Drosophila melanogaster: one gene and its partner. The protein of the gene in region 2 interacts with the protein of the main gene of each other region in a pairwise test. Each region holds a gene or a part of one and is shown on either strand. Other genes may lie near its edges.

Evidence for each region. The genes of interacting proteins can lie anywhere in the genome.
Region 1: the proteins of Pig1 (region 2) and CG14143 interact in a two-hybrid assay, tested with the Drosophila melanogaster proteins (one large-scale study listed by BioGRID).

What each region holds. Positions count from the first base shown.
Region 1 is NT_037436.4:11,132,141-11,137,074, reverse strand, and holds CG14143 (uncharacterized protein), read right to left. Parts: upstream 2,089-4,934; 5' UTR 2,079-2,088; coding exon 1,734-2,078; 3' UTR 1,595-1,733; downstream 1-1,594. Other genes in the region: CG32074 (uncharacterized protein), read left to right, coding at 4,755-4,934; NaPi-III (Na[+]-dependent inorganic phosphate cotransporter type III), read right to left, coding at 3,075-3,408, 3,478-3,980, 4,051-4,427.
Region 2 is NC_004354.4:3,248,100-3,251,022, reverse strand, and holds Pig1 (Pre-intermoult gene 1), read left to right. Parts: upstream 1-1,733; 5' UTR 1,734-1,789; coding exon 1,790-2,308; 3' UTR 2,309-2,423; downstream 2,424-2,923. Other genes in the region: Sgs4 (salivary gland secretion 4), read right to left, coding at 46-909.

The DNA of each region.
Region 1 (4,934 bases), on a different chromosome or scaffold from region 2:
TAATATTGTGTGGTCAGCAGGGAATTCCAACGGAAGAAAGCTATTACTTAGTACATCTTTGGTTCACTATGATAACTCTATTACAAGAAATAAGAAAAAATACAACAAAAAATATTGCTACTATTGAAAGGTTTCCAACTTCTATTTAAAATATTACAAAATTATTGCCGTGACATTTAGTGGATTGAAAACAATCAATTGTGCTGTGTAGAAACTACAAAAACCTAAATACACACAATTTGGCTACCAAACATTTCATTCAGAATGCCGCATTAAAGTCAAATACACTTGCTAATAATTTCGCTTTGGCTTGAATGGCTGAAACGTTTTAAACCTATTGAATAAACAGGGTTTCGAACAATGCAAAACAAAGGCTCAAATACCGGGGAACTCATTAAATAAAATGAGAACAAGCCGTTCGGCTCGCCAGACTGAGATGGAGAAACAAAAAAAAAAAAAAAACAATCAACCACAAGAAGTTGGTGCAAAATAAAGTCTAACACAAAAAAAAAAACGAAAGATAAAAAACAATAACAGCGACTACAACATCAACAGGGAAAAAAAAACCCCCAGATGAAAAGTTCAATGCACGCAAATCGGATTAAGCAAAGAAATTAAGTAATACTTGTACTAGTGGAAATCCATTGAACTGCAAGTGGTGTTCATAGAAAAGTGGCAAATAGAAAGGTGGGCCGGATATTGAACGGAAGTTGCACGCCCACCCAGTTATTACAATATAGATATAGAATAGTTGGATAGATAGGTCAGTAAAGTCAAAACCATTACCTTTTAATCGCCAGAAATGTGTGTTCAGTACAAATCCGAATGTGTAAATCCAAAAATGACACTAAGCAAGTTTCTCAATTCTCACAATTATGTTTTGGTTCAAAAATCCGAGCACTTAGCACTCCGAATGTCGAATTTTTGGGATCGTTACGAGTTTAGAGTGAACCAAACCGGGTTTTTTTTTTGTTTTGTTTAGAATCACGCCGTATCGGGAATAGCGAACCGAACGCATCGAAGCTTAAAACTCAACTGATTCCAAGTTGCGGCTACCGTTTTCTTCGAGCGCCACGCGCTCAAAAGCTTTCCCACCAAAGCTTTTTCACATGGAACAAAACTTTTGTTGGGCTTTCTTGACCATTTCGATTAAGCCAAAAAGTTGACATCTTTCTGGCCCGAAGTTATAGCGAGCTATAAGCCGAAATACTATGTTTTATCTTTAACAACAATCTTAAAGTTAAATATTTACTTAAGTGTTGTGTTTTTCAGACTTTCACCGACCCAATGGTATGTGGACTAAAAAATGTTTAATTCCAAATATACAAGTACTAAGAAATAATATTACTCATCCGCCACGTTAAACATGTGCATATAGTTCTCAAAAGCCATTTTGCAAAAGTGCAAACTTATGACAATAATCAAGAATAACTATTGAACCATAACTATTAGTCTACTCCACATATTACTAAGTAATCCTCTAAGTATAAGTCCATCAGTTAGCTTTATATCGTTTTCTGCATGGTATTTATATGGAATTAATGCTTGTTTAGTTTTTGAAAGCATAGTTTGTAAAAAACAAAACCCAATAATTAAACAAAAAATTTTAAATATGTTTTTATTTAAATATTGCGAACTTAATAAGAGTAAAGTAACATTAGGATTAACAAGGTGCGTGTGGGTCGTTCATGTAGATCTTCAGGGTCTGCGGTGTTCCAAACGAGATGTCCTTCTTATTCCCAACTCGATCGGTTCTTCCTCTTTCCATCACGTGAGTGGCGGAACTTGCGGCGTCGGTTCGACTTGTGGGTCTTCTTCTTGTAGTGGACAACGGTAGCCTTCTTCTTTGGTTTCTTGGTGGTGGGAGTCACGGTGGTGCTGCTTCCGGTTGCCGAAGGCGAAGTGGTGGACGTGTCTGTATCAGTGGTCGGAATAGTGACCGAAGGAATAGTGACCGATGGAATAGTGACCGATGAAACAGTGACCGATGAAACAGTGACCGTGGCGGGAGAAGTCAGTGCCCAGGCAGTCGAAACGAAAGCCGCGATGGCAAGGAAGATAGTTAGCTGGGATCGCATCTTGAACAATGTTTTAGACTGCTATGACTGATGTGCTTCTTTCTGGGCGAAGCTGGCGTATATATAGCCAAATCAAGAGGAAGATCTCATATATGTTTTCCCTAAGCAAACAGCAAACAGTCGTTTTAAATCGAATCGGAATGTGATGTTTTAGTAAATTTGGGTTGCTTAAACAGAGATCAATACCACATTTTCGCAATGTATAATTAGGCTATTTATACAGAGGCTCACTTAATTATACGCCATTCATTTATTTTTAAAATACTAATTTCTTAGAGAAACGGATGTAAGTTGGGTGGGTAGCCAAAGTATTGAAATAAAAGATTTTTTTTTGTGTCATAACTTCGTATTTATTTTCCGTATAACTACATAGTGAAATACTTTACGAACTGACTCTCAATGGAATGTAAATTTAAATCGGACTGGAGAGCCTTATACATAAGGTTTTGAATTGTTACGAACCGAACTTGGAACCAAGTGTACGAATTGTAAATAAAGACGGCAATTTAAATTGACACGAAAAAAAAAGATAATATAAAATAAAAATTGGTCTTACCACAACGTATAAACATTTTCTGTTGCACATAGTTTGTATTTTATTCAAATGTTTTGCTCTGATCTATTAATTGGTGTAAAATAACTTGAGTGGTTGGGACTAACTTTACAAATGAGTCTCAAATGCATTTTAAGTAATGTGAAGTTCGGGTATAAACTAATCAAATCGAGGTGTATAGATATAAAATCAAATCACGGCTTTGCTTGGCGTACACACATATTAAATAATATTAATATCAGTTAGACTCAGAGACGTTCTATGAGCTAAATACAATGCTTTAGTTAGGCGAGTAATTTAGTTAAGATTTTACCACTTTTTCTTGAGTTTCCTTTTGCGTGTTTAATATTTAAGTTTTGTGTTTTCCAACTTGTACAATTACGAAACATTATTTTGGTTTTGCAATTACAATTAATAATTGAATGGCAATCTCTGTTCCATCTTTAGGCCCCACCCATGTCGTCCACGGCGATGGCACACAGCACGTACATCATTCCGGCGCTGAGGAGCGCCGTAACCGGCACCGTTACGATCCATGCATAGGCAATATTCCGGAATAGATGCCAATCGACACTGCCATCATCCATGGGCGCAACTTCGTTATGGGTCTCCTTATCGGTCTGATCATTCGGCTGACTCTTCTTCTTGCGACCTGATGCACTCACATGACCCACAAAAACCACCGAACCGACCTTGCAGTGAGTAGTCGAAATGGGCAGGCCAATTTTGCTGGCCAGCAGTACGGTGATGGCAGCTCCGACTTCAATAGTAAAGCCACTGAAAAATAGTTGAAAGTGAATGTTCTATTTGTGAAAGGATAAGGGAAATTAGGAACTGAATACTCACGTCGATGAGGTTATTTTCGTAAGGTCATTGCCAATGGTCTCGATGACTCGTCGTCCCCACAGCCAGAGACCCACAGAGATGCCGATGCCGCCGTAGATCAGAATATAGATGGGACTCTCGGCCTGCTGCATAACCGATCCCTCGCGATAGATCATATAGAGGGCAATCAGTGGGCCGATGGCGTTGCTCACATCATTGCCGCCGTGCGCAAAACTGCCAAATGTGGCTGTCAGGATCTGCAGAAACGAGAAGAGCATTGAAATCTCCGGAGTCTCCTCGGCGCCACTGGTTCTTCGTCCACCGCCCGTCGTTCGTTTCAGCTCCTCCTCCTGCTCATTCAGCGCCTCCTTGCTCTCGATCAGAGGAACCTTGCTGGAATTGGGCGATAAAGTGGAACTGATCATAAGATCAAGGCTGCCGCCGCTCTCCACCACTTGAAGGTTGTTATTTGTGGCTTTGGTCGATCCGGTTTCCAAGTCCGTGCCAATGGAGTTCGTCTTGCTCTGTAAGTGGAAAGAATCGAAGATTAGGCAAAGCAATCGAATTAGCTAGCTAGCACTAAACAGGTAGTACCTTCTGCTCCTCCTTGGGCGACTGCATCCGCTTGAAGCACTCCTGCAACTTGCGTCCATTTTGCTGCTGCTGCTGTTGTTGCTGCTGCTCGTCGATAAAATTCAGACTGGTAATCGTCAGATCCGTGTTGTCCAGGCTAGCCTTGCCCAGCAGATCCTCAGCCTTTTTGATCAGCTGCGGATCGATCTTGTACTCCTCCCCAAGCGCATTGTTGTTCTTGGCCGCCAATCCGAATGGAGCCAACTTAAAGGTCCTCGGCGAGTTGTCGCTCAACGAGACCAGCTCGGTTATTTCTGCGATGGCAGGCAGTGGCTTTCCTTCGCTAACCAGCGACAGGGGACGACGCTGCTTCTTGGGACTTCCCGACGGGGAAGATTCTGGAAGAAGAATTCAAAATTTATATTGTTATTAGCCAAACATTTGTTGGAAGAACAAAGGCCCCATTATTTGGTTAAAGTTTAAGTCGCATATGGAATAAGGTTTCTAATTTTTTTTATGAAAAACCAATACAAATTAGCTACAACCTTTGTATAAATAACCTAGATCCAAAAAACTTCCACATGGTGAATTGCGACTTAGCACGCACAAATAAACTGTTAGCTTACGCAAACAAAGAAAACCTCTTCCACTAATTTCCCTATAAATACTTAGGCTTCAGCTAAACAAGAGCACATTAGATTCAACACCTAAAGAATCCATTAGAGATGCGTTCGCAGCCAACTATCTTCCTTGCCATCGCGGCTTTCGTTTCGACTGCCTGGGCACTGACGATTGATCCCGCCACGGTCACTGTTTCATCGGTCACTATTCCATCGGTCACTATTCCTTCGGTCACTATTCCGACCACTGATACAGACACGTCCACCACTTCGCCTTCGGCAACC
Region 2 (2,923 bases):
AGTGATTTTATTCATATTCAACGACATTTGAGTCAAGTTTGCTGTTTAGCAACCACCTTTTTGTGGCTGAGTCTTCCGCGGTTTCTTGGTGGTGTTCTTCTTGCCTGAATCACACGCCTTTGGCTTTGGCTTAGATGTGGCTTTCGATGCGGCTTTCGGTTTCGGGTCGGATTTACACTTGGGTGCAGGCTTGCACGAAGCTTGAGACTTCGATTTGGAATCGGGGCACTTCGGTGTTAGCAGGTCCTTCAAAATACATCCGCTTCCTCCACCGCCCGATTCGTTTTTCGATCCACAGCCACATCCCGATTCTGGTGTCGTTCCTGGACGGTTATGATGATGTACTATCTTTTTGGTGGATTTCGATCGCTTGGTTCTTTTTGTGCGGTGTCGCTTGATGCGTTTCGTGCAGTGCTTTTCACTGGGTGGCTCAGTTTTGCATGTGGGTGGCTCAGTTCTGCATGTGGGTGGCTCAGCTTTGCATGTGGGTGGCTCAGTTCTGCATGTGGGTGGCTCAGTTTTGCATGTGGGTGGCTCAGTTCTGCATGTGGGTGGCTCAGTTCTGCATGTGGGTGGCTCAGTTTTGCATGTGGGTGGCTCAGTTCTGCATGTGGGTGGCTCAGTTTTGCATGTGGCTGGCTCAGTTCTGCATGTGGGTGGCTCAGTTTTGCATGTGGGTGGCTCAGTTCTGCATGTGGGTGGCTCAGTTTTGCATGTGGGTGGCTCAGTTTTGCATGTGGGTGGCGTGGTTTCGCATCTTGGTGGTTCGGTTTCGCATCTTGGCGGTTCGGTTTCGCATCTCGGTGGTTCGGTTTCGCATCTCGGTGGTTCAGTTTTACAGCATGTAGAACCTGACGGGGCAAGTGCAGCCAGCCCCACCAATAACACAACCAACAACTCCAAGCGCATCTTGACTTTGGAATTCAATACCGCGTGATGCGCTTTATATACCCACTGCATTTTGCCATCGACACATCGAACAATTTAAGATACACTCAACAAAAAAATAACAATTTCTACGGTTTAAAATGAAGAAACTAAAAGTAAGCGATATACAAATATAATTCAGCTAAGGGTATGCTGAATCATGATAAACTTGTTGAAATTGTTTGCGCATTGTAATTAAAGCCCATTTGTTTAATGATTTTAATATTAAATTCAATATATATGGAATCAAAAATTATTATTAATATGTTCGTGAAGTGTAGGACAGTGCGGGTGCCTCGAACTTGTCTTTCACAAATATTTACAGAATAGAAAGGTATGTTTTCCATTTTTGGACCGGCGGGTTGGCTTAAACCAACTTATCTCGAGCACCAGCTTTAGTTTACTTAACCGCAGCTGTTGCAGTCTTCCATATTGATCGTGGTTTTGTTTATTATTTTGTTTATTATTTATTTATTTTTTTTTGACTGAATCGAGTTGTGGAAAAATTGCGTGTACTAGTTGTGTGAGCAAATCAAATAGTTTTGCTCAAATCGTTTACTAAGGTAAACAAATTTTATTACTTGTGGCGATGGTTAGACATAGACAAGACTCAACTAGGATCATTCCAGTTACCCTGTCATTTGCCAATTAGATACACATTTTTCCAACCAATTGCCGTCATCGCGGAGACCAATCACCAGCTCTATTGTTTTCAACCATTTTTTTTTTGTTCTGAGAGATTTGATATTTGACTTAATTTTGGCCTTCGCTTGGGTAAATAAAACGTGGTCTGGAGCTTTTACTATAAATTGCGACATAGCATTATCGGATCCCTCAGAGTCAAATAGAATATAGTGTCGAAATGAAGTTGACAAAGTTATGGTTGCTTTTTGTGTGCCTGGGGCTTTTCGTTACCCTGGTTGTGAGTGCCGATACGGACTCGGATGCCGATTCGGATTCATCCGCCGATTCGGATTCATCCGCCGATTCCGATGAGAATACAACCGCATCCGGATCGATAGTAACCTCAACCACGGAGTCCAGTGCCACGAACAGTTCCGGTTCCTCAGATGATGCTTCTGGCAGTAGTTCCGATGTGGACGATGGTTCCGATGATGATACTGATTCTGGATCCGATACGGATTATGATACACCTACTACAGCTCCAGTTGTTAAAAAGAGGGCCAATAGGAAGAAGGCTAACAATAACAAGAAGAGAGCTAGCAACAATAGGAAGAAGGCCAACAATAACAACAACAACAAGAAGAGGGCCAACAGCAACAACAATCGCAAAAGGAGGGCGTCCAACAACAACAATAAAAAGAAGGCATCCAACAACAACAACAGGCGCAGGAACAACAATTCCAGGAGGCGTGGTTAGAGCGAAAATGGTTGAAACAACAACTACATGTGGACTATATGCATAATAAATATTTTTTTTGTTCATGATTCAATAATTGATTGGTGCATTGGTCTGATTCGAAAACACACACACGAAAAACACTGTATTTTTTTTTTGGTGATCGAAAAAATTCCGAGGAAACCCCATTCGGTTGAAATTAACAAATGCAATCTGCATGACCAATTCGTGTGGGTAAACACGAAAAATTTGAGACAAAAAATGCTGATGACTATTTAAAGACTATGCTCTCACATATTAAAGAGATACATACATTTGAAGTGTAACAATACAGGCATTATTTCCAATGGACAAGCACTTTTCAACAAAAGCAGACATAACAAAACCAAAACAAATATGTGTTACACTCTAAACGAGAACAATAGGTGCCCATCGACGAGCTTCAATTTGAAATCACAAAATATTATGGACACAATGCACATTGAATGTGCTGCAAACTAGGCAACAATATTTTTACAACAATGTGCTGTGTGTAGTGGTGTGGTGTGGTGTGCGTTGGTGTGCGTTGGTGTGGAGGAAAATGCCTGTCAAAATCTCAACAGGTGTCGATGACTTATCGATGGCTGGCTTTCAAGC